3 linked regions of the Daphnia pulex genome follow. The protein of the gene in region 1 purifies or fractionates together with the protein of each later gene. This does not show direct contact. Links are inferred from orthologs where the notes say so. Each region holds a gene or a part of one and is shown in the gene's direction. Other genes may lie near its edges.

Evidence for each region. The genes of interacting proteins can lie anywhere in the genome.
Region 2: the proteins of syntaxin-5-like (region 1) and synaptobrevin homolog YKT6-like purify together in Homo sapiens (affinity purification with mass spectrometry; 3 studies listed by BioGRID and IntAct, with this or other methods). This does not show direct contact. The link is inferred for Daphnia pulex from reciprocal best matches to the Homo sapiens genes STX5 and YKT6.
Region 3: the proteins of syntaxin-5-like (region 1) and Golgi SNAP receptor complex member 1-like purify together in Homo sapiens (affinity purification with western blotting; 3 studies listed by BioGRID, with this or other methods). This does not show direct contact. The link is inferred for Daphnia pulex from reciprocal best matches to the Homo sapiens genes STX5 and GOSR1.

Annotation. Positions count from the first base shown.
Region 1 is NC_060017.1:4,341,420-4,345,353, forward strand, and holds syntaxin-5-like, read left to right. Parts: upstream 1-1,386; 5' UTR 1,387-1,540; coding exon 1,541-1,983; intron 1,984-2,049; coding exon 2,050-2,105; intron 2,106-2,174; coding exon 2,175-2,416; intron 2,417-2,503; coding exon 2,504-2,874; intron 2,875-2,942; coding exon 2,943-3,102; 3' UTR 3,103-3,340; downstream 3,341-3,934. Other genes in the region: proteoglycan 4-like, read left to right, coding at 244-621. UniProt on the Homo sapiens protein: Mediates endoplasmic reticulum to Golgi transport.
Region 2 is NC_060026.1:12,911,377-12,914,736, reverse strand, and holds synaptobrevin homolog YKT6-like, read left to right. Parts: upstream 1-1,355; 5' UTR 1,356-1,579; coding exon 1,580-1,772; intron 1,773-1,841; coding exon 1,842-1,942; intron 1,943-2,001; coding exon 2,002-2,172; intron 2,173-2,240; coding exon 2,241-2,378; 3' UTR 2,379-2,751; downstream 2,752-3,360. Other genes in the region: UBX domain-containing protein 1-B-like, read right to left, coding at 1-76, 138-626, 690-887, 976-1,028; Golgi apparatus protein 1-like, read left to right, coding at 3,055-3,276, 3,354-3,360. UniProt on the Homo sapiens protein: Vesicular soluble NSF attachment protein receptor (v-SNARE) mediating vesicle docking and fusion to a specific acceptor cellular compartment. Functions in endoplasmic reticulum to Golgi transport; as part of a SNARE complex composed of GOSR1, GOSR2 and STX5.
Region 3 is NC_060027.1:385,299-388,331, forward strand, and holds Golgi SNAP receptor complex member 1-like, read left to right. Parts: upstream 1-1,194; 5' UTR 1,195-1,309; coding exon 1,310-1,337; intron 1,338-1,402; coding exon 1,403-1,511; intron 1,512-1,573; coding exon 1,574-1,649; intron 1,650-1,709; coding exon 1,710-1,900; intron 1,901-1,959; coding exon 1,960-2,031; intron 2,032-2,088; coding exon 2,089-2,326; 3' UTR 2,327-2,424; downstream 2,425-3,033. Other genes in the region: uncharacterized protein LOC124207221, read right to left, coding at 1-96, 173-350, 423-550, 615-950; protein MTO1 homolog, mitochondrial-like, read right to left, coding at 2,432-2,533, 2,598-2,658, 2,722-2,952, 3,028-3,033. UniProt on the Homo sapiens protein: Involved in transport from the ER to the Golgi apparatus as well as in intra-Golgi transport. It belongs to a super-family of proteins called t-SNAREs or soluble NSF (N-ethylmaleimide-sensitive factor) attachment protein receptor.

The DNA of each region.
Region 1 (3,934 bases):
ATTTAGACATAGGCCGTAGAATCAATTTAAATGGAATTCATTTGGGATGTAGTGCAGCGATTTATTGAAATAGTATTTCATGTATTCTATTTCCTGAATGATTTTTAAAAATTCGTATTTAAAGCCTTGCCTCTAAGCTACCAAGCGGCCAAAAGCACGGCGAAAGTGATTTTACCAATAACAAATTATGACTGTGTATACTCTTTGATAAATATTTAATGAAAATGCGTTTGATTTCAATAGGTGAAGATTTTTATTGTGGTAGCCATCATTTCGCTGGCTAATTCCCAGCAGAGTGCTTCAAAAACAACGCCCAAAACTGTTAAACAGGTATCGACGACGGCTAAGCCCATGGCTGGTGCTGCTACGACTGTTAAGCGTTCATCGACAACGGTTAAGCGCGCAGGAACAACAGCTAAACCGAGAACAACTACTGTCAAGCGGGCAGGAACAACAGCTAAACCGAGAACCACTACTGTTAGGCGTGGACCTGCACCCACAACTGCCAAGCGCGCATCTACAACACCTAGACCTAGGACCACTACTGTCAAGCGCGCACCTACAACTGCTAAGCGCGCGTCCACTACGGTTAAGCGCACAGCCACGACCAAGAAAGTTTAAATGATTCAATTCCGGCCATCATTTTCTTTGTTGTTTCTTCAATCTTTACATATCTATAGGCCCACAGTTAAACATTCCATCGTTGTTTCGAATATGAGCAGGCCGTCTCTTTCTGAGTAATACGACTCAATTTGCTATTCTTATTTAATTGGCAGTGATATTTAGTAAATATAATATGCAGAAATCGTTTGTTATCAATATTATTTCATTTACGATTTTATTTCCGTACAACCAAATACTATTTGCTTGTGTTTTATAGGGATTTGAAGATTTACGTAAGCTTTGGCAATCAAGCGTAAATCTTGAGACGGTTGTTAAAAATTTTTGGAAAGGAAATAAAATAAAATTAACAGAAATGCTTTACAAATTTATATGTAAAAAAAAATGTTTGGGAACTTCTGTGTTCAACAGTAGAATTACACATGAGTACACTTTTCTAAGTGTGCATTATAATATTGTTTTGGTCTTCCCTCGCTAGCAATGAAAACGGCTTTTCCTAAATAAAAAAAAATAAATTGAGATGAAAACATAATTTTGATTGGTATGACGCGGGAACGATGGAGAACCTAGTACGTAAGTCATACTTCTCTTAGGAGGAATTTGCGACATTTAAAGCAAACCAACATTGTAGAAAGATAAAGTCTATACATAGTAATTAATAATAGTAATTGATAAAGCTGGATAAAGGTTAAAATAAAATGATAAATATTGAACTTTATACAGTAGATAATTAACGTTGGCAACGTTGGGAATTACGGCTAATGTTTGGTATTTTTTCGTCTGCACACACTCTGCAGACAACCCTTAATATGACGTGGCATTCGGTATAGTTTCTTGTCGCAAAATATCTGGCGTTCCCGATTATTTGGATTTCAAAGACGAAAACGGATGAATTTTTCGAGAGATAAATTTTTGACGGATGATTACTCGAAGACGCCGGCAAGGCTCTGAATCGGAGCATCAGCCGCTTGCTGAAACCCAACTGCAAAACCAAGTCCTGAAAGGCTCTTCATCCGTTTTACTGTGGTCGGGAGAAAGTCCTCAACAGCAGCCATCCTTTTTCATTGTTCCGCAGGGTGAAATAGGTGCATTTGTTGCACCAAATTATTCAACAGATAAATTTGTAGATGTTCAAGCAAAAACCAACAGCGCTGACATGATGGCCCTAGCATCTAATTCGAGTTCATCAGTTCTGTCTTCCACCAATGCTTCTTCACGTGATCGGACTGCAGAGTTTCTCTCTGCAGTCAGAAGCTTCCAGAGTAGGCCAGTTAACGGAGTAGTTGGGAGGCCGAGTCAATCACATCCATCTAAGAATACAGATCAACATCAACAGTACTCTGAATTCATGAAAGTGGCAAAGTAAGTTGTCGACTTTTAAGAAAATATTTGCAACTATTGAAAATATTCAAATTTTTTTCTGTACAGAGTTATTAGTAAGGATTTGAGCAACACATATGCAAAACTGGAAAAACTAACTCTATGTAATTAGCTTTGTTTTTAATTTCTACTGTTCAACCAATCATTTCATGGTTTCACATTTATGCTTGCAGTGGCGAAAAAACGAACGCTATTTGATGATCGTCCTCAAGAGATCCAAGAACTGACTTACATCATCCGTGAAGATATCACAAATCTGAACAAACAGATTGCTCATCTGCAAGGATTCATGAAAAAGCAACAGAATCAACAACAAAATACCAAGGCCCATTCAGCAAATGTCGTTGTAGCTCTTCAGTCGAAGCTAGCCAATATGTCTTCTGAATTCAAACAAGTCCTTGAAGTCCGCACTGAGGTACACGCCTTTCCTAGTTTAAAAAATAACTACTAGATTTTATTATCTAGGATATTCAGTAAAATGAATGTTTTGAAAATATTTTAGAATCTTAAAGCCCAGAGAAGCCGTCGAGAACAGTTTTCTGGCTCCGTCCCAGTCGTTTCTGATTTACCGGCTGCAGCCTTGACAGGAGGACCGTTTGGATCCTCTCAAAATGGTTCTAAAGGATCTGTTCTACTCCGTGATGCTGCCTATCAAGCCCATGGAGGAGAAGCAGTAGCTATCGACATGGGTGCCGCTGACAACAGAACCAACAGGAATCAAATTCAGCAGCAAGTGTTTGCCGACGAAACAGAATCTTACCTGCAAAGTCGTTCTGACGCAGTCCAAAGTATAGAATCCACTATCGTGGAGTTGGGCGGAATTTTCCAGCAACTGGCTCTCATGGTTCGCGAACAAGAAGAAATGGTTCAGCGGTAATAATATTAATTATTTTAGAATATGTTATAACAAAGAATTTATGGAAATATTTTTCTTCGTGTAGGATTGACTCGAATGTCGACGATGCCCAACTTAATGTGGAAGCCGCTCATGACGAACTCTTGCGTTACTTTCGTTCCGTCTCTTCTAATAGGTGGCTGATGCTAAAAGTCTTTGGGGTTGTCCTTGTGTTTGTTGTAATATTCGCCATCTTTTTTGCTTGAAAATTATCTAAAGTACGATTTCCAATTCATTTACCAATACAATTTTCGATCCTAATGAATTTAAAACTCACGGTTCGTTTCTCCATTGTGCTTGATTAACGAATGTAGATGTGCCCTCTGACGAAAATGTTGCCCAGCAGACTTCTGGTGATTTTCATGATGAAGTTATAAACTGTGATGTATTAAGAATAAAATTCAATAGTAAAATATCAGAAGAATAAATAAATTCTAATCTATATTTGACATCTTCAATATTATAGCTAGCCAGCTAGTATTTTTTTAAATTGCATTCCAATTCCATTCATTTCCGTCAGCTGTATTTTGAAAGGTTGTTTAGAATCACCCTCTGATCTAAAAAAATACCGCAACAATTTTCCCAAAGTTTAGTACTAGCCCGCAGTTCTGAATCTTCGAGTGTGTGCTCTCTTACTCCGAAGAGGGGCGTCCCTAAACTGCGAAAGCGAAACGCGAAACGCGAAACGCCTAAAATGCGAAACAGCTGTGCGAAACGGACCCAAAAGTTGAGACCCTGTTTCGCATTTTAGTCTTTGGGTCCGTACTAAACTGCGAAATCGGTGTGTGCGAAACGTCGCAGTGTAAACGTCTTGGTAGCAGACGACAATGGACGCCGTCAACAAACAAATTGTTAAGAGTTTCAAATTTTCGAGTTTCGCGCACCTTATGGCTGGTCTATTTGTGTGTTGACCATGAATACGAAATACCTTGAATGCAATATGTAATAGGTGTTTTAATTAGAAGATTGGTATAAAAAAATTAATGGAACTTCTCGTTTCCATACTGTATCAGTATCAATCAGATTAACATTCTTAAT
Region 2 (3,360 bases), on another chromosome or scaffold:
TTGAATGAAGAGACGAACTGAAGCTAGCTGCTCCTTAGCACCAAATGTTTGCGTCATTGTCGATCCATTTGGAAGTCTGGAAGAAATAATAAAGAGTTATGGAAGAGGGACTTGCGTCATCCAGAATGATTTATAACCTTATTTGGATTTTCGTCTCCTTATAGTCCTTGGGCTGATTGGGTGTTGTCGGTGCCGGAGCCGGAGCCTGAACTGGAGGAGCTACATATGGCGTATTGGTTGCGTCACCGGCTTTCTGTTTTCGTGCCAATTTATCTTGTTCAATTTGTTCTTTCACTCGCTGTCTGGCTTTTTTCTCTTCTTCTTTTTCGCGCCTCCGTTCTTCGGCAATCTTTCTTATTTCATCCTCTTCGAATTTCTTTTTTATATTGAGAAGCTCCTTGCCTGACTGTATTCTTCTTTTTTCTTGCTCCAGTTGTTCGGCCTTTTCTTTCTCTTCACGTTCTTTGCGCTTCAACTTCATCAACTCCTCCACTTTCCTCAGTTGTTCCTTCTTTTCTTCTTCAGTGAGAGGCTTCTTTTCATCAGTAGATTCTGAAAACTGGCTGTGACCGGTTTTCGCAGCATGAAATTCTACCTCTTCATTTGTGCGAAATAGTCTATTACATCTAGAGGAAATTTTAAAAAACATATGTAAGAAATTCAATGGTTGACTTGAGTTCCATACTTACTCATCACATTTAATAGATTTGGCAGTAACAGCAGCCATTTCAGCATTTGATGCTTCAGGTTGAGCAGCAGCATTTGGTTCTTCCTCTTTCATTTCTTGATTGTTGTCAGTTTGTTGATTGAATTTCTCACTGTTCACAATCAACCAATCCATTGCAGCTTCAATATTTTGGTCTCCAGTTTCTTTAATAGCCTTTTCACTTTTCAAATTTCAAAGAAATATAACAAAATATTAAGTTGCCATTTAAAAAATATAAAAGGTATGAATTATTTGGAATTAAAACTTACGCTAACTGTTCAGAAAATCCCATTTCTAGTAACAGTTGAAGATTTGATGACATTTTCGGTATTTCGTTCTTCGAAAAACAACAGAACAGAGGTATGTCGTCCGACTAGCGCTAGCAATGTCAGTATGTTATTAAAAAAGTGACGATGAAGCCTCTTCTGTTGGTGTGATTTTGCCCCAAAGATTTTTGTAAAATTTTGTGTTTTTTGTATTGAAATTTACATTGAAACCAAATGTTTTATTTCTCAAATTATTATTAATTCTACTAAAAAAGTGTTTACTTTCTTGCAATTAACTATAATTCAATTTAGCAATCTGATTAGCGCCAAATTAGCGCGGGGAAACAGCTTATTTTACGTTTATCCGCTAGAGGCGGTGTATTCCGATGCAACAAATGGGTTCTTCGGCCATTCCCGTTGTTTTATTGAACTTTTTCTCTTGTTGGTTGTCACTTTTTGCAGACTTCTATCGGATCGGATTTAACCGCTTCTGAGGAAAAACTCAAGCCGTCCACTTGAACCTTTAGTACTAATTAACAAAGGCCTCTCCACTTATCAGTAAGACGATTGTTGGAGGATCTTATATTTACTAGTCAAATCTAGAAAAATGGTGAAGCTGTATTCTTTAGCGATTTTACATCGCAGCGAGCAAGGGTCACCACAGCTACTTAGAGCGGCTTACGACCTCTCAAGTTTTGGATTTTTTCAACGAAGCAGCGTTCAAGAATTTATGGCTTTCACTGCCAAGATCTTGACTGAAAGGACAAGTGCTGCGTCCAGACAATCGGTGAAACAAGGAGGTATGTATGCAAAGAGTCATCATAAAACTCAATGTACATTATAAATTAAATGTTATTTCTTTATTGCAGAGTATATGTGTCACATTTATGTGAGAGCAGATGGACTCTGCTGTGTTTTGACGGCAGATCATGAATACCCACAGAGGGTTGCTCATACCTTGTTAACCAAAGTGAGTGCTACTTGTATGTTGGTTGAATTGAAATGATGAGATATTCTTAATTACAAAAGGTGCTTGATGATTTTGCTGCTCGGGTGGAATCATCTCTTTGGATAGAAGCAAATGCTGCCTGTGCAGCTTATTCTGGATTAGAAGCATCTTTGGCAAAATATCAAAATCCCAGAGAAGCAGATGCTCTAACTAAAGTTCAAGATGAACTAGATGAGACTAAGATTATTTTGGTAATTTAAGTCTTAAAGTTTCAATCTGTTTTAATTTTTTTTTAACCAGTCATGTTTGATTGTCATAGCATAACACAATTGAAGCTGTATTGCAAAGGGGTGAAAAACTGGATGACCTTGTATCAAAATCTCAAGGACTGAGTGATGCATCAAAAATGTTCTATAAAACAGCTAGAAAAACAAATTCATGTTGCAATTTTGGATAAGTTCTCAAGAAATGTTTATTTGATCACATTCTTGGAATGGTACTATTACTTTATTTTTTGAAGATGGTCATAATTCACATTCCTGAATGAGTTGAAATTGAAAGACATATGGTACAGTTATAAATTCATTTTTAATTTTTGAAGGGTGCCCAATAATTGCTGTGAACTTTTCTGTCCCACTCTGTTCCCGTTATGCGACAGCACTCATTTTCTGTTTCTCATAAATGTATCATATCGTAAATGATTGTGACGCTAATGTTAGGTATTTCGCTGACGTTGCATGGATTGTCGTCTCTATGATTTCATTTCACAGCTTACATCTGTGCCGCAGGTCCATCGATGTAAAAGAAATAAATTCTTCTTAATCAATTTATCAATTTGTCGCGTTCGTGGTTTATATAGTTTTGTTGCTCAAACCGATTCAAACGTAAACCGCTGAGAAGATTTTTTTTAAGCGGTACTTGAACAAGGTGGTTGCAGAAACCTATAAGGTTCTTGGGCAACAGATGAGAGATGATAGCGAAAGCGGAACAAACAGTAGACTGTGTGACGCGGCTGACGTCTGCTGTGGTCCCTGAATATGTTCATTCTGACCAAGTGTGGGATGTGACTGTTCTCTAATTCAATCTTAAAAATAAATTTCAAATCAACTGATAAGTAGTGACTGGAATAGAAGATGTTATTCCAAGGTGTTAGTTTTCTATTAGTGACCTTAACAACTTTTATTTCGGTTGGAGCTTTGGATGTCACCGGAAAAATTGCTACGAACCCGGTTTGTAAAGACGACGTGACACGTCTTTGCAGCTCTCAAATTCTTCCAAATGATTTGGCTGTTCTTGACTGCCTTCAAAACAGGAGAAGTGATAGTGATTCTGATATCAAAATAGAATGTCATTCTGTATGTTTCTTTTTTATTTTATTAAAGTACTCATTTCAGAATTAAAGGTTACATTTTTAATTTTTTTCTTTTTATAGTTCCTTT
Region 3 (3,033 bases), on another chromosome or scaffold:
CATCTGATGTCGGAGACTGCGACGGACCACGCCCTCAGCTGCTCGGTTGAAGTCTTCTACACCTTGACGAACGTGTTGGACGTCTTTCGGGAAAGCCTGGAGATGAGAGATAGAAAGGGAGAGAGAGATGATCAATCGCTTTTCCTGGGCAGGTGTAGCGAGTGAATAATACCTGGGTCGGGCTGTACACGGAAGCAGCATTAAAGATGGGTCCCAAATCGGCATTGTTGCTGCTATTGCCAGAACGCTTATTGCTTGTGGCTCGCGTGGGGGTATACGTGCCAGGTTTGCCGTACAAATTCTGATGATTTCGCTGACGTCGACTCGATGGTGTCTCAATGCCAAAAGGGCTGTTGAATAGTTAGAAACACTGCAATTAGTTTTTAAATTCTTGAATGATTTCAAACTACATTTTAAAAAACCTGTATAGTTTAGTTGGAGTTCGTCCCAACAACTGTTTTGATCTTGGAGTGTCTTTTCCTCTTCCTGGTGTGTATGGAGAACTATTCACTAGCCTTTGTCGACGTCTAGCTGGATTATTCTTGAGTTTCTGTAGATAAATAAACATGATATGAATCTACTAAATTATACACAAGAAGAGTTGTGCTTCAAACCTGGGACCAAGTTCCAAAAGTGTTGCGAACATCATTGAATGTTTGGTTGACTTTCTCAGCACCAGCTTGGATGAGTTTACGAGTTTCCTTGGGCACATTAGCTACATTGAGATTGCTGATGGAGGAAAGTACTCCTCTGCTACGTAATAATCTCCTTTGGGGCTGTGGTTGTTCTTGTTCCGTCGTAGCATCGGAGACACTTTTGAACTGTCTAGACAATTGACGTCTACTCCCACTGCCATTGACACCCAACGTATGAGTAATCTCTTCAGTTGCACCGTCTGACCTTGAAGTCTTATTCCAAATCTGTGACAAACTCTTCAAACTTGATGCCATTTTAACAAAACTTGTTTTTGGGTTAACGTGAAAAATGCGTGCTCTGGAACACAGGCTTGTCAAAACGGTTATTTCATTTCAAACCCTTTTGTAAGTACACCGTTGTCAAATGGTGTTGAATCAATTCCCGTAATACGTCGTCGTAAACTGACAGGAGCAGACCTACATAAATATCCAAAACTAGTTATTGTTGGCAGTTTTTACGTGTTATTTCGTCGTTCTAGTTCAAGATATCTGTTATCCTCAGTTTTATTTATGTTTTCTTCTTCGTGAACTTCGTTGCTTGTAAAATCCCATCAAATTACAGTACGTAAAACGGAATCAGGCTGGAGACAACGGAGACAGTCAACGTCATCAATATGACAAGAGGAACCTATTCTTGGGAAGGTAAATATACTAGTTTAAAGTCATGGGACTGGTTTTTCAAATAATATGTCCTCTATTTGATACAGATTTGCGGAAGCAAGCCCGACAGCTAGAAAATGAAATTGATGCAAAATTGGTCAGTTTCAGTAAATTAGGGTTAGGATCCACCCCTTTCAACAATTCTAAATCCAATGGGTAGCCTAATAGTGTTACGAAATAGTGCAACACTTTTACATCATTTCCGTTTCGATTTGCAGAGAATCAGCTCATCTGCTTGGAGAAAATTTTGCCTTTGAATCAGGGTCAAGTGAAATTCAACAGCTTCTTAGCAAGGTAACTTTGGGGTCAACCATGACTCACACAAAAATGCATAGCCTACTTGTATTTTTCCAGCTCACCGATGTTAACTCCCAAATGACTGAAGTGTCTGCCTCTCAAGCCCCAAGTGCAGCTTTGCAACACACTCTCCAGCGTCACCGTGACATTTTGCAGGACTACACCACTGAATTCCAGAAGACGTCATCTCACTTGCAGTCCAAAAAGGAAAGGGAAGACTTACTTGGAAGTGTTAGAAGAGACATAGAGTAAGAAATTCTAACTGTTACTTTTTTACCTATACAATTTCTTTATCTTACAATTGCAGTGCCTACAAAAATGACAGTGGTAGAAATAGGCGCACTGATCTTTATCTGAAGGAAAATGAGCACCTGAGGAGGTATTTAATTAAAGATAAACTTATTGTTACATTGGCTTGATTCTGTGTTTAATCTAGTTCTGAGAGGATGGTGGACGATCAGATCAATATTGCCATCGAAACCAAAGAACACATAGCAAATCAACGTAGCAACTTGAAGCGAATGCAAGCTCGCGTCAACGACTTGGCTTCCCGTTTTCCTGTAATCAATAGCGTAGTTCAGCGCATCAATTTCCGCAAGAGGAGAGATGCCATCATCTTAGGAAGCGTGATTGGTTTTGGTTGCATTCTATTGCTCCTCTATTCTCAGCGTTAAAAAATAACTTTCAAAACTTCTATATTTTATACTGTGATGGCTCTTCCCGCTCTTTACTATTTCCTTAAAGGTTCATTACAAAGAATTTTCAGTCATTATCCTTGATCAAGAGTTTGTTACCGCCAAACGTTTTCTTCGATTAAGGTACTGTAATATTGTAAGAATGGCAGATGGTGTAACGCCAGAAATCCGAGAAGCTGCACCAATCTACAAGCCAAAATGTTAGGAAAGATTAGGTTAGATTTCAAGATTTACTTATTTTATTCCTTACCGTTTGCGGCCGTGCTTCATTTAGTTTGTTTCGTTCTTCGTTTGACAAAGACATGGAACTCCTATACAAAAATATGTTTTTAGAACGCAAACTGAATTAGAACAAATGGCAATCATTTTCGTACTCTAAGTAATCAATGTCGTCTGGGATGGCGAGGGCTTCCTCCGCACGGATTTGTACGGCATCTCCTTCTTGATCATCAATCGCATTCGAGTACAATGATTCGATCTGAAGTCTCTTGCACAGTAGTGGGTCAGATACTAGATGACTAAGTCGTCCGTCAGCCAGAATTGAATCTAAAAGTGCCACCGTAATTCCGTCCTGCTGCCACGGTAAGGCCAGAAGTTCAAATGCGCTAAAATATGAAGCAAGTCACGAAATGTTGCGATTAGAAATTTAAAAAAAAAAGCTGATTGATAATTTGAAGTACTTTCTA